Linked DNA regions of Drosophila melanogaster. The protein of the gene in region 1 purifies or fractionates together with the protein of each later gene. This does not show direct contact. Each region holds a gene or a part of one and is shown on either strand. Other genes may lie near its edges. The genes, in order: NT1 and Toll-6.

The links.
Region 2: the proteins of NT1 (region 1) and Toll-6 purify together in Drosophila melanogaster (affinity purification with western blotting, with the first as the bait; one study listed by BioGRID). This does not show direct contact.

Annotation. Positions count from the first base shown.
Region 1 is NT_037436.4:4,501,732-4,510,960, forward strand, and holds the start of NT1 (neurotrophin 1), read right to left. Parts: upstream 6,703-9,229; 5' UTR 6,330-6,702; exon of another isoform or gene 6,218-6,329; intron 4,172-6,217; 5' UTR 4,125-4,171; coding exon 3,669-4,124; intron 3,578-3,668; coding exon 2,673-3,577; coding exon of another isoform or gene 2,669-2,672; exon of another isoform or gene 2,554-2,668; intron 2,449-2,553; coding exon 2,317-2,448; intron 1,948-2,316; coding exon 1,801-1,947; intron 1,734-1,800; coding exon 245-1,733; 3' UTR 1-244. UniProt on the Drosophila melanogaster protein: Neurotrophin which may function as a ligand for the Toll-related receptors Toll-7 and Tollo. Binds to Toll-7 and probably acts as its ligand in promoting motor axon targeting and neuronal survival in the central nervous system (CNS).
Region 2 is NT_037436.4:15,333,655-15,340,024, forward strand, and holds the start of Toll-6 (Toll-6), read left to right. Parts: upstream 1-3,037; 5' UTR 3,038-3,570; coding exon 3,571-6,370.

The DNA.
Region 1 (9,229 bases):
AAACGAGGTCATCTCTTAATCTTTGCACTACACACTACAAAATAAATAAATAAATAAACATAGTTGGTTAAACATTAGAGTGGGTTTTGGGATAAATGGGGTTGAGATTAGGAGCCAGGTAGACAAACTACAAGATTAGGCTCCTGGCGAGAACGGCAGAGACTACGAGCTAAGGCATCGGCGTTAATACGTTAGATTTCGGGGATTTGAGGACTTTGATTTTGATGGACTCATGCGACTTAAGCTACTCCACAACCATGGGCAGCCAGGCGTTATCGCTAGCGAAACCAGCACCACCACCCACAGCACCTGCACCACCCACGCCACCGTTATGTGCCCGGTAACCCATACGCCTCTCGTGCGTTTTGGGCACCGGAATGGGATGTTGGTAAACTCCAGTGATTGTCTCCATGCCCAAGCCCATGCCATTCTGTTGAGATTTGGGGGAATTCTGCGGGAATATACGCTGCTCCACTATGCGGGACTCTTCTGCGATGGAACTGACTGTAGCCGCCGCCTCCGCCTTGCGATTCTTCTCGAAGAAATCGATAATGGGGTGGTAGTTATAGTTAATCCTCTTGCCCGACATCTCGCTGCCACCACCGCTGGGGAAGATCGAGCTCACTGGATAGACTGCCGGCGGTTGTGGTAGTGACGTCGACTGATCCCGCTCCCACTGAGTGGTGCGCTCGGTCGAAAGGGACGACGCTGACCCGGTAACCACTGCTGTGTTGGTCGTCGTGGTGGCTGGTGGTGCATAGAAGCGGGGTCGCGATTTGCTGCCACCTTGCCGGTTGACTGGTGAAGATGGTGGTGAGGCTGTTGGTGGTGCGCCTGGTGGTGCGATGGCACCTGCTTGATGGGCATGGGCGGCATGGGCAGAGGAGGCGCTGGAGAGGCCAGCACTGGCGCTGAAACCGGAGACAAAGCCGGATCCCGGACTAAGGGCAGCTGTTCCCGTTCGGGCTGGTAGACTTGTGGTCTGTGGAAATCGTAGGCGGACGGCAGCTCCTCCTGCGGGCGATGGTACTGAAGATGATGATGCTGATGATGTTGCGGTGGTGGGGGCTGTGTGGGTGGAGGCATAAATACGCTTGCGATTCAGCGGGATACGCGGCTTCTCTGCACCGCCGTTTGGTGGGCCAGCGAATAGGTTTACCTCTTGGTCCGAATGCGTCTCGCTTGGCGCCAAATCCAAGTCCAGACGCGCCTCTGAATGCTGCGGCCGCCGGCGGCTCACCTGGCTGTAATACTTCTTGGAACTGGAACTGGAGCTCTTGTATCCGCCATAGCGATCTTCGTCATCATCAGGGGGACTGAGATATGGACCCACACTGCTGCTAATACCAGGCAGCTTTACGCGCACCTTGTTACTGCTGGAATACAGTTCATTTGTCTCCCGATTGTTGAAAGAGGGATATCGAAGACCCAGTTCGTCCTCCTCGCTCTCTTCGGCATAGTCCAGATCCTCCTCGTTTATGGTACTATACCCATTATGACTATGATTTATGACAGGAGACTGGGGAGAGTAATCTTTGGCTTGTATGGAGGAGAGCGGTGGAAACTGCTGGCGATAACCATCCACTTGGCAGGAGCAACAGGTGGGCACCTTAAAAATATCCACATGGAGACCACGCACTTTGTCCCAACTTAATAGACGATGATAGTTGTACACCTGCGAGCAGTGGGAACGGTAAGTCTGCGCCAAGTAGGAACAACTCTCGACGGGATTACTGTTTATAAATGCAAAGATTGCAAGTTAATACCATGTTATTCAAGTGAAAAATTATTTTCACCCACCTGCATTTTTCCAATCTTAAGGTTTGCGTGTGCTGACCAGTGTTCACTATGTACTTCCATTCTCCTGAAGCTGACTTGGCCTTCTGGGGTCGGGCATAACGTACCACGCTCTGGCACATCCCACCTGCGCTGCCTTCGTCTTCACGCCTTTAATGTGAAAAAAAAAATGAAATATTTTACCAAAATTCACCGTCGAGCATTTGGCTTTTTAATTGGTCTTTTCAAAACTAATATAAAAGTATATTCCTACACATTGTTTTTTTTCATTGGTTTACGAAATATAATGCCAATATAACTGATAAAAGTGTAATAAAATTTGTGTGACCTAATATATTATTTTATTATCATAACTTTGTGAAGAAAATGACTTTATGTGGCTTATGCTCATATGATTCAACGACAATTTCAATATACAATTTCGAAATGATCACGTTTCCTAAAACTTTTATAGTCAAAACTTATGTTATGACATTTATTGTCAGTTATTTGCTATCTTTGATGATCTTTTTCACTTACCTCTTTTTGCTCAGGCTGAAGTCATCGAAGTCATCACTAAACTCCAGATTGTTATTGGGCTTGTCGTAGAACTCGGCCAATAGAGCGGACATGGCGTTTTTGTGACGCCTAATGCTGCCCATGATCTGTTCACTAAGATTTCAAAATAATATATGCAGTTTCCAACGGTAGACTTCATTCAACAACTCTAACCAAAACCAATAACTAAGCATAAGTGCAAGGGAAAGTTGGGCAAGTGTGATTCATAAATTAAAGTTTTATTATGGCTAAAATTCGGACTAAACTAGAGCTAAGGACTATGGACCGGAACCAGGACCCTGGGAGTACCGCTCACCAACTAGCTACGGGAATCTTACAGCGGATAGTCGTCGGTTCGGATGCACATGTTGCTGGTGAATCGTTCGCATTTCTTGTTGGGTGGTGTAACCACGGGTTTATGGGAACTGGCGGCGGTCTTCGGTCTTCCCCTTAAGGAGGATGTGACTCTCTTTCGTTTGATGGGAGATCCAGATTTTTGACCAGGCAGTGGTCTTTTCCCCAGTCGGTAACGTGGTCCAGCGATGAGTTCCTCTGGACTTGGTAGTGGTTCCTCAGTCTCCTCGGCGCTGTTTCTTTGCAGATCTAATCGCTCATCAGCGCTCAGGGGGATTTCCGTGCCATTAAGACCAGCAAAAGCCAGATCCTCCACCTCAGAGTATGACTGGCCACCATTGGAGGAGGCCATCTTCTCCTCCTCCTGGCTACTTGGCTGTTGAAAAGCTGTGGTATTCAGCTTGATGGTACGTCCAGCAATGCCACCCAAAAGTTGCTGCTCGGTCACAGAAGCAGGCACGGATCGGGTCAATTTGTGAACAAACTCGTTTGCCGATCGTCGAACTCTTTGACCATGATTTTCTGGTTTAAAAGTCTTGGTTTTGTTATCATGAAGATCACCTGTCAGGGCCTCATTGATCATCTGAGGATCAAGCACTTCTGACCCCATCTCATCAAAGAAGTCCTCTAGAGACTCCAATTGCACCTCCTCAGTAGAGACCTTTTTTGGCTCAACTTCCACAGCAATGGTGCCCAATTGGTCATCCTGTTGGGACTCTTCTGGAGTCAAATCATCTTCACGACGATTGATGGGAGTATGGTAAAGGGCAGATGAAGCCAGATCAGAACCCAGATTGATGTACTTGCGGGTAGAGCTCTTTATGAGATTTGCGATGTCGAACACTATGGGCAAAAGCAGCTTTTTTTCATTGCCAAACATCATGCGAACCTGATTAAATTAGAAAAATCATTAGCCAGTTTTTTTTTTTAATGCAATGTAATGTAAAATAATATTTTTTTAAAAACGTTCTCAAACACACCTGTTCAAACTTTAGTTCGTGCCCCTTTTTTGCATTCATCTGAGCCGAGATCAAAGCGGAAAGAGCCAGGCGCTGTTGAGAAGATAGCATTCTTAAAATGGGCAAAACTTCGGCGAACTTCTGGCGCAATCCCTCATCCGCCAAGGCTTTGGCCAGAGCGTTTCTTAAAACCCTTTCTCGCCAATCGAAAGGTGGTAATTGTTTCTCCGGCTCCGGTTCATCCAGATCTACGCTAAAGTCCAGCATATTCGACTCCAACTTCTTTTCGGCCTGCTCCGCCTTTTTTGCCTCCTCCAGATCATCCAGCTGCCAGTCCTCCATAGCAGCATCATTTGAATCCGCAAAATCAAAGTCCATCAGCTCATCGTCGGCGGAGTTCCCACTGACCAGATCCAGATAGAGCACACAATAGAGCAGAGCCCAGAAAAGGCAGCCGAAGGCGCGGCCAGCTTTCATTTTCACTCTGGCTTTATTTTCTTGGCTTTGTTTTTAATTGCAGTCGTCTGCGAATGACAAAAGGCAAAGGAAAGTTAAAGCGAGGGGGCGGTCACTGCTGGTTATTAAGTTGGATTTAATTTTCCGAAATATCAGATGAATGTCGTCTTATTAATTGTTTATTTATGACTATAGTGCACCTCAGACGACACTCGCACGCTTTCAAAAAAAAAAACAGTTTATGGCTTATTCTTAGACGGGTTCAATTTGTCTTGGCAAATTCAAAACCATTCATATTTTTGGCTTTCCATCGAAAGCAAGAGTCATTAACATGAGCGTAAACTATTACGACCGTGCAGCAAGAGTCATAACAGTCATCTTGGCCAGGCTATTACAGCAGCACAGTCGTCTCCGGCTTTAGGTAATCGCACTCAGCCATCGGCGTCGTCATCATGATCTTCACTGTCATCTCAGTTGACTGCCCAACAAGGCGTGAAGCACCGAAGCTGCTCTGGTTGTTGCTATTTTTACCATTTTAATGTGTATTTTCGCGCACGGGGTTATGACTCCTGACTAAACTGGCCGTTTTGCGGTAATATGGCATCCCATCCAAAGGTCGGGTGATTGATTTGACTGCGCTTTAGCTTCCTATCATCATGATGAAGACATTTGTCAGGCTAAAAGAGCTCTTCCCTCTTCCCTATGAACTTGGTTTTCTCTTCTTGTCTATGCAAATGTGTTCAGCACAAAGGAAAGTCTTTCTTTCATTTTGTTCGTTATTTATATAGTCGACTACCCCAAGGAGCCGACAAATCTGAATGCTAACAACACCCAAGCCAGGAAAACTCCTCCGAGGCAATGGCTATACCAGCTGCATCGATGTTATGACCTTTTGTGCAGATGAAAAGTGAAAATTTGGCTGCAGCAGCGGCAAACAGTTGACAGTTTAGAAAAGGCAGCCAAGGCCAGCATGAAAACTTATGGCGGACGTGGGCTAGAGAAGATTGTCCAACGATTCACGTCTCTTCGGGCACCCAAGGCAAGGCAAATAATTGAATGAAATGATGCGCACAGTTTGCGATGCACGAACGTGAGGATGCTGCCGTTGTCAAGATGCAGGCAGGCTCGATGTCTTTAATTTATCTCGCACACCTGCGCGCAGAAGACCCCGCTAATGGATCCTACGAAAGGGGAAGAGAGATGGCGGCGCTTCTGGTTTTTGTGTGGCCTTTGCATTTACGTATAGATACTTTTTTGACGCTGGGAAAGCGGCATAGTACGATAAATCAAATTAAGCCAATAAGTCGCAGCCGTTTCCCATATATGCCAACCATTATTTCGGTTCCCAGGCATCCCAGTAATTTCGCGTGGGTGCCATTTGCAAGAAAGCAAATACAAATTACAGACGAAAATGGGAATGGCAATGGGTTGCATTTGAAGATGCTGCACTCCGCTTGCATGCGATCTCTCGGCAAATTCTTTGGCCACTTTAATTAACTTGTAATTTGCGTGCGTTGCGCAGACAACGAAACGGGGCCAGTCAAAAAATAAAAAAAAAGGCAAAAGAAAAACAAACGAGACGAATTGAAGAAAACAAATTAAAGCGCTGCAAATGAGAGGAGAAGCATCTGAAAGCGAAGCGCAAAGCAAGAAAGTCGCACTGACAATCTCCGCAGAATCCTACTAAGCAGACTAAGCAGCCTCAGAAGCAACTAGGTGCTAACCGACTAACCTAGTAAGCGAACCCGCTGAACCACTAACCACCAACAGCTGTCGAGCTGTATTGGACAGATCGGGGATCAATATCTTCATCGCATAGGTTTGGCCATCCGAACTGACATATAAATTCCCAACCAACTTACTGGGCCCTAAACGAAAGACTTAAGACACAAACTTGACGACCGCCGAAAAGCGGCAACTCATATCAATAAACGAACACACACGCACACGCTTAAACAGCGCGGACTGACACAATTTCCTCGGGCGTAAAGAATAAAACGAATTCAAATTTTTGTGCGTCGTTGTTGTTATTGTTGTTGGGTGTAAGCGCTTTTTTGTTTTCGTTCATTTAGAAAGTTGTTTCCATTTCACATATTTGGCTAAAATACACTCACAAATGAAATGCTATTTTAAAATTCCAATTTCGATTTTGTTTCTTGTTCTCCGCTTTGCGCTCTAGTTTTTTATGATTAATTTATAAAGCTAAAGCAGAGCTTCAGAAATCACCTCAGATCAGCTTGTCTTCAGTCCACTGTTCTTCTTTTTTTTTTTGTTCTCCAAGCCACTCCCTTCTCCAGTCTTCCGAGCTTCGATATATGTATTTAGCTTGATCACTGTTTATTTCCTGTTGCGGCGCAAGAACCGAGTTTCCATTCCACTCCACTTTGCATAGATAATTTTCACTTTTATAGGCTCATTGGCTACCGCCTTCGCTGATTTTCACACTTTTCACACGCGCCTTAATTAACAGAAATTTCTACTTTGCCACACTTCTTGAGTCTGTCCGCTTGGCATTCACCTTCGTTTTGCTTTTGAGACAGCTTTTTATTTTTTCCGCCTGCTACGTCTGAACGCTTTCAACACTCGCCGCAAACTGATTTGCTGCCTCAACTGCTGCTTACTGCTTCTTTACCTACCGCTTTTGCTGCTGCTGCGGTTGTTGTTGCTGCTGCTGCTGCGGCGACTTTGGCTCAGTTGGCGTTCTGGACCCATTGCAGTAAATCCAACTTAGGTGCGTGCTTGTGCATTAAAAAGTGCGCATCGGCAAATTGCATTTCTTGTGCAGTTCGCAAGTTCATTGAACCGTTAGTTGGTTTACATTTGCATATCCATGCATGTGAAATTAATTAACGTTTAGAGCGGAAGTTTGCCTATATTTAAAACTGTATGTAGCAGCCTCGTCTGCCCAGTTCGTGTCTTCAGTCATTTGTTTTGGCACTGGGTCAGGAAGCGATTTGTCCAAAACGGAAGCATGCTAAACGGCGTATCTAAACTGCTTTCTATCGGCATCATTAGCCACGAAAACCACTTTGACCACTTCATCAGGCGTTACGGCCGCCCGCGAGGGTCAGCCCCTAAAGTTAAGGAAAGAAAATTAATTTCCAGCCACGGCACTTTCGTTTTTCAAAACAACAGCCCTCGGTAGCAACTTTGGGCAGGTGGTTAGCGCCTCCGCCTGCTTTTCAGCCACCGAACAGTGGGACAAAATTTAGTCGTGCAAATTTTTATTTTATCTTTTAATGCATAGCAACACAAGTTGATATCCTTGTAAACTATTCAATATATATTATATATCATAGCCAAATACATGCCTAATTTTATTAAGATTAGCATTATTAAAATCTAAAATGAAAATTTAGGATTGAAATAATTTTTTTTATGTTCGTAAACTCTGATTAAATTGCTCCTATTTTTAGCTAATTACCTTATATCGTTTTGCACCCCACTGTGCAATGACTTTGACTTGCGTCTAATAACGACTTTTCGTGATTTTGACGTTTTGCTTTTTTGCGCTTTATTGTTATTTCTTCATCATTGGTTGAGTCCATAAACTATCGGCTTAACTGCTCCAGGGCAGTGGCAAGTGCATCCTCCCTCCGGCTTCTATGGCACTTTCAATGACCACTTAAAGAGCATTTTCTTCACACTTTCATTGGTAACCACAGCGGCAAAACGGTACCAGCTGAATTTTCATTTCATTTTCACGAGCACGCAATGTTTTTCAGCCTTTACGCATTTTATCTTAATGTCCATTTGTCGACATTACCGCATCGCTGGCCGTGTGTTTAATTGCAGCGTCATCAATCAAGCAACCATAGCCGAAAGTGTCCTCACTCACTCAACTTGGTTGCACTCGGTTATCCATGGTTTTTACTCGCATATCGTTGCAATTCGCTAGATTTTCCGCTACCGGCGTTCATCCCGGCTGGCCAACTTGCTGACCATAAAACATAGCGATGCACTTGGCTAATTTGCACATTAAATTTTTATTTTTATATTTATTTCTTTATTTTATGTTTGTTGTTATGTTTATTGTATGTTTGTGTTCCGGTCCGGTAGTGAAATATTACCTAGCACCGCAGTCTTGTCATTTCATCTGGCGATTGTTTAGCCTGCATCTTGTATAGTCCACTTGCTCTTGGAATATTTGTCGAGTGCATAAAAACATTGACATTGAAAATAATCAGGTTTGCCTTTTAAGTTCGCATTTCAGTTTAATATTCGAAAAACACGCCGTATAAGTTATAATTATGCATTCCTACGCCTCTTATTCTTGTCCGATGAAAACTCTTCGGCCAAAACAATTCCGGTTTTTAATTTAGTCATCTGTCTTCAACAACTTTTAAATTTGTAAAGTACCCGCAGGGGATTTACATAAAAATATGGTTCGACAAATATACGAATAATCATTAATTCAATGATTGTGGAAAAACGACTATTAAAACTTTAAATAAGTTTCAGATTAAGACTTTATTTCATAATGCAAATAATATCTCCAAAACTTAATTTGGTTCAAATATCTTCCAATAGATCTATATATATTTTTTAATACATTATAAAATTATCAAAATATTGATAAAAACCAAATTAAGTGCTTGTACTGTTTTAATATATATATTTTTCTTTTGAATTGCGCGCTCAGTTATTTTGAACCAGTTTTTTGGAACTAGTAAAGAGAAGCCAGACCTAACGAAAAAGCTGAAAGCTTAAATAAAAGTTAACATGATAACAGACAGGCATTAACAGAAATGCTTACCGTCTGTTTTCACCATGTTAGCTTAACATAATACATCATAATCAGTATTGCCACTACAATAAATTTCCATTTAAATTTATATAAAATAAAAAAAGCATTCAAATGGTGTAATATTCATAATTATATTTCGTCTTTAATTAATTTATTTGTACAATTCTATAGCTAGATTTCAATACAATTACATAGATCCTATGCGCTGCACGCCTAAATCAACGATTTATTTTCTTATTACTGACGACGGGGTTTCAAAGTTTCCTTTTGTGCAGTCAAATCTTGGCTACATCCAGGGGAAATAGCTCAACTCGAAGATGGGATTTTAGATACAGACTAGAAGAACTAAGTGACGAACTTTAAACTAAGCATAGGTAGC
Region 2 (6,370 bases), about 11 Mb from region 1:
CCAGTCGAAGGAAAACCAAATCAAATAAAATGAGGCCAAAATAAAGGCAACAATTAATAAACGCAAACAGAGTGAAAGAGAAACGACAAACGAGGACGAGCCAAAGCTGCCAAAAAGGATAGCTGAATGGGTGAATCCGATGGGTGTGGGTGGGGATAAGGAACATCGCATTGGGTGGGTACTGCAAGGATGTGGGGCAATGGGCGGTAGGTGGTGGGTGTTGGGTGGTGTTTGCCTGTGACGTGTATGGGCAATTTAAGCTGGCATCAGACAAGCAACTGACAGGAGGGAATCGAGTCCGATGCTCTTGTTAACCAGACCTGCGGTCCCCAGAGACGCAATTGTTACATTTAATTGTGATTTTTGTGCCCCCTCCTCATATATAGACACACTGAAAAACATAAAAGTAAATATTTAGTAATCAAAATGGATTGGAATATGTAATCCCATTTTCACGTAAAACGCGGAATGTACGTCAAAAAATTGTTATAGCGTAGGCTTGTTTAATCTAAGACTCACTTTGGTGTTTTGATTTGAGCTTCCCATTTATCCATGGCAGACCTAATGATATTGAGTTGCTTCAACAGATTGAAAATTTTTTACAGTGCACCCGTAAAGCTGCTTGGGCGCCATAAAATATGCAACCTTTCTTTCTAGCTTTCCCCCTTGGCTTTGAGTGAAAGTAATCCGAAATGCTGTCATTAGGCCGAGTCCATAGCACAGAGCCACAATTAAGATTGACTTGAAAGCCGTCCAGGCGTCAGGCTAATACCACGACAAGGACATCTACTATAGCCGGCAAACCAATCCAATCTGCACACCGAGAGTTATGGCTTTGTCGAAAAGTGGACTCCGATTCAGCTCCGCTTTGCCCAGCCTCTGGCTTTATCTACTGGGTCATTTCTCATAATTTTCCACAGCTCGAGAATTATTGCAAAAGTTAATATTAATGACGTTGATGAAAATCTTGTCATTCGTGTTACCGAAAAAAAAAAAAAAACGAAGCGAAAGAAACCCACGTTATGGGGCACATAAATAAAGGAGCTGCGACCAGGACCACGGACAAAAGCCAGAAGCGTTCACCAAATTGATAACTACCGAAAAAAGAATACCAGGCCGGGGAAGAAATATTCCTTCTTGGTTGCATGTGCCACCACACAAAGGAAAGCGAGCCACAAAACCTCGTCCTTGCCGCCATTTACATTTGAAAGAGCCTGCGAAAGCCTGAAGGTGAGTAAAATAAGGGGTGCACTGAAGGAAAATCTTGTGAATAAAACAGTAATACATCCCTGTACAAGAGTAATTGGTAAAAGAAAAACATCATGTGCCTAAATAACTAATATTTTTAGCGAATATCTTACTGAGAAAATCTCTCAAATTAAGACTGAACTGCAATAGTTTTCTTCACTGTGCAGGAGGCTTATTAGACTTGGCTGCTGTTCGTGGCTCTGCTGCTGCTCCTGCTGGTGATATAATTTTAATAACTTACATAATATATTCTTTTGTGTGGCCAAGCCACATAATTGTTAGAAACATTAGGCAAATCATTACCCCAGCACGAAAAATGGGTGGGAGGCGTTCTGTTGGCTGACGCAATTTGGCAAAAATGTTTTTGTGTTTGCTTTTAGTGGCGACAAAAAGATCCTTAGCCACAACACCCATGGATATGGGAAAACTTTCAAGCCAGCTAAGAAATATTAGCCCAAGATAAAGTGTCCAGGGCAGCTGTTTTTCTTGGGAATTAGTCATGAAAGACCCGAAGTTTATCAAGGTTACCATGCCGTGGTAATCGCCATTGAATTTGTTGGCGGTGATCCATCAATATTTCTGCTTTCACCCAAATATTGAACAATCAAAATACATACATGCCGGAGGTTAACGAAATAAGGAACAATAGACAGTCTTCTTTGTAAATTAACCCTTGGAAAATTTCCTTGATAGATTGATTTCTTTTTCGAGATACCAGGACTACTTTAGGTAAGATTATAATACATTCATCAAAATCATAGGCGCGTGAAGCAAAAATTGTATATTTATTATTTGAAGTAGTAAAATGTTCCAAGTGTAATTAATCTCAAAGAAATATTAATTTAAGTCCAAAAGACAATAACATAATTCAAAATTTAAGTAACTACAAAAATCTGAATTTGCAGTGTGCGATTTAAGATATCCTATAAAAGGAGCTTTTTATAAAAACTCTGCTCACGAATTTTCATATTTGCTATTTCCAGCATCTCCCAATCGAGTCTAACCAAGTCCTTGCATAACTTTCCGGATTTGAGAACGAGGAATCCACAGAAATCCCCACACATCCAAAGCCCAACGAAACCCCATAATGCTGGCCCATAATCATTATCATTAACCTGATGGGGAAGACAGTTTTTTGCTGCTTTGCTGGGCGAAAAAGAAGTCATGAAACCACAGGAATTGTTACATGAGGCGCAAACAAAACAGTTTAATTAAAATTATTATTGTAATTTAATGGAATGTGAGGAATTATTATTTTTATACGGGTCTGGGCCCACGAAACAGGAGCAAAAAGCAGCCGAAGGACCTTCTCGGCACACCGACACACACATGCACATGGCATAAAAATAAATTACGTTTGTATGAAGATTGGCGCTGGCCCATGCACATCATATATTTTCATTATCAAAACAGAGACAGCAGAGAAGTCGCCGGTTGGCGGCGGGGGGTGCGGAGCTCTATCTCCGATTCGGCGGCAAAAAAATAAAGGATATACGAAATACGACGAAAAAAGACAGAGAAAATCAAAAGGAAAACACGAACGAACGCCAGCTGTTCGATGCGATTAGATGGAGAGAAAGAAAAACATTTTCCAGCATCCGTCGAGCCAGAGCGAATTTCCCTTTAGTCATACTCTCCGAAAACTCTCAGCATTTCCCGCCCGTGCAGAGCCTGTCGGCTGCTCTTCGTCTGTTTTCCAGCCCCCTTCGGCTCGCGTTCGGCTTTTCGGATTTTCGGGGTTTCGAGTTCGTGGACGACTCTCCATTTAAAAGAGAAGTTGCGCACGTTGCGGCAGTCAGTCGAAAATCAGCCAACGTGCGCGTTACATTACGAACCGGAAAATATCGACGCTGCTGCACCGCTCAAGTCCCAGAAAAAGTGGGTTCAGTTCAGCCAAATGAAAAAGTGATAATAGAAGTCGAGCCCGCAGCTAAATTGAAATTCATCAAAGGTTCCTATAACGCGACGTGTAATAAACAAAAACTTCGAAGCGAGTAATTCAAAGCGCCGAAACGAATAAAAAAGAAAAATTTAAATATAAAGAGGATAGAAAAGGCCAAGTGCTAGAAAATGTGCCGGGTGTAAGAGAGAAGAAAACACGGAGAGCATAATTAACTAAAGAATCGGGGGAAAATAAAGAAAATCTGGCTTGGAGTAGAGGGAGCACAGAAGCCGAAAATATGTGCGCAGACTTTTCTTTGGCCAGCCAGTGGAATTGATTTTCTTTTCGTTTCTCCCCAAGACCCCCGCTTGTACCGTCTTTCCCCCCTCCGCAAACCCATTTTCCGGTGCCTCCACGCAGCTAAACCGTGAATCGCCAAAATGATCTACTATATGCTACTCATACTGCCCGTGGTCCTGGCCCAGGATCAGCAGCACACCACGGAATCGCTGTCCACCAAGCACCACCAGCAGCAGCAGCTGTCGCACTCGAATGCGATAATGGGTGAGGCTGGGGTCTCCAACTCGCAGCTAATGCAGCCCTCGACTCCGGCGCGAACCCTGCGACCCTTGACCGCGGGCGCGGGTGGTGACCCTTCGCTGTATGACGCCCCCGACGACTGTCACTTCATGCCAGCAGCGGGTCTGGATCAGCCGGAAATAGCCTTAACGTGCAACCTGCGCACGGTGAACAGCGAGTTTGACACAACCAATTTCAGTGTTATACCCGCCGAGCACACGATTGCCCTGCACATACTGTGCAATGACGAAATCATGGCCAAGAGTCGCCTGGAGGCGCAATCTTTCGCCCATCTGGTTAGGCTCCAGCAGCTGTCCATCCAGTATTGCAAGCTGGGGCGACTGGGTCGCCAGGTTCTGGATGGTCTGGAGCAGCTGAGGAACCTGACGCTCCGGACGCACAACATCCTGTGGCCAGCGCTGAATTTCGAGATAGAAGCGGATGCCTTCTCGGTCACTCGGAGGTTGGAGAGACTGGACCTCAGTTCGAACAACATCTGGTCCCTGCCGGATAACATATTCTGCACCCTGTCCGAGTTGTCTGCCCTGAACATGAGCGAGAATCGCCTGCAGGACGTCAACGAGCTGGGCTTCAGGGATCGCAGCAAGGAGCCAACCAATGGTTCCACCGAATCCACCTCCACCACCGAATCGGCCAAAAAGAGCAGTAGCTCAAGCACCAGTTGTTCGCTGGACCTGGAGTACCTGGATGTGAGCCACAATGATTTCGTCGTGCTGCCAGCAAATGGATTTGGCACTCTGAGGAGGCTGCGAGTCCTTTCGGTCAACAACAATGGCATCTCCATGATTGCGGACAAGGCTCTCAGTGGACTGAAGAACCTGCAGATCCTGAACCTGAGCTCCAACAAAATCGTGGCCTTGCCCACAGAACTCTTCGCTGAGCAAGCCAAGATTATCCAAGAGGTGTACCTGCAGAATAATTCCATAAGTGTGCTGAATCCGCAGCTCTTCTCGAATCTGGACCAGCTGCAGGCCCTGGACCTGTCCATGAACCAGATAACCTCCACCTGGATCGATAAGAACACCTTTGTGGGTCTGATTCGTCTGGTTCTGCTTAATTTGTCGCACAACAAGTTGACCAAACTGGAGCCAGAGATCTTCAGCGACTTGTACACCCTGCAGATTCTTAATCTGCGTCACAATCAGCTGGAGAACATCGCAGCCGACACTTTTGCCCCGATGAATAATCTGCACACGCTGCTGCTGTCGCACAACAAACTGAAGTATCTGGATGCATATGCTCTGAACGGATTGTATGTACTGTCGCTGCTCTCGCTGGACAATAATGCGCTGATTGGCGTGCATCCGGATGCCTTCCGGAACTGCAGTGCCCTGCAGGACCTCAACTTGAATGGCAATCAGCTGAAGACAGTTCCGCTGGCCCTGAGGAATATGCGCCATTTGAGAACCGTGGATCTGGGCGAGAACATGATTACCGTTATGGAGGATAGTGCGTTTAAAGGTCTGGGAAATCTCTATGGTCTCCGCTTGATTGGCAACTACCTGGAGAATATTACGATGCACACCTTCAGGGATCTGCCTAATTTGCAAATCCTGAATCTCGCCAGAAACCGCATAGCAGTTGTGGAACCGGGGGCCTTTGAGATGACCTCGAGCATTCAAGCTGTGCGTTTGGATGGCAATGAGCTGAATGACATCAATGGCCTCTTCAGCAACATGCCCTCCCTTCTGTGGCTGAATATATCCGATAATCGTTTGGAATCCTTTGATTATGGACATGTGCCATCCACCCTGCAGTGGCTGGACCTCCATAAGAATCGGTTGAGTTCCTTATCAAATCGTTTTGGTTTGGATAGTGAGCTAAAACTACAAACTCTCGATGTGAGCTTTAATCAACTTCAGCGCATTGGACCCAGTTCCATACCAAACTCTATCGAACTGCTGTTCCTGAACGACAACCTGATAACCACCGTTGATCCAGATACCTTTATGCACAAAACCAATCTGACCCGGGTGGATCTCTATGCGAACCAAATCACAACGCTGGACATCAAGTCCTTGAGGATTCTGCCAGTTTGGGAACATCGAGCTCTGCCAGAGTTCTATATTGGTGGAAATCCCTTCACCTGCGATTGTAACATTGATTGGCTGCAGAAGATTAACCATATAACATCGAGGCAATATCCAAGGATTATGGATCTGGAGACCATATACTGCAAGTTGCTGAACAACAGGGAGAGGGCCTATATTCCCCTGATCGAAGCTGAACCCAAGCACTTTTTGTGCACCTACAAGACCCATTGCTTCGCCGTTTGCCATTGCTGTGAGTTCGATGCTTGTGATTGCGAGATGACCTGCCCCACGAATTGCACGTGCTTCCATGACCAAACCTGGTCCACAAATATTGTGGAGTGCTCGGGCGCAGCTTATTCTGAGATGCCGAGACGTGTGCCCATGGATACCTCTGAGTTGTATATCGATGGCAACAACTTTGTTGAATTGGCGGGACATTCGTTCCTTGGTCGCAAGAACTTGGCTGTTCTCTATGCGAACAACTCGAACGTGGCCCACATATACAACACCACTTTCAGTGGCCTTAAACGCCTGTTGATCCTGCACTTGGAGGATAATCATATAATCAGTCTGGAGGGCAACGAGTTCCACAATCTGGAGAACCTGA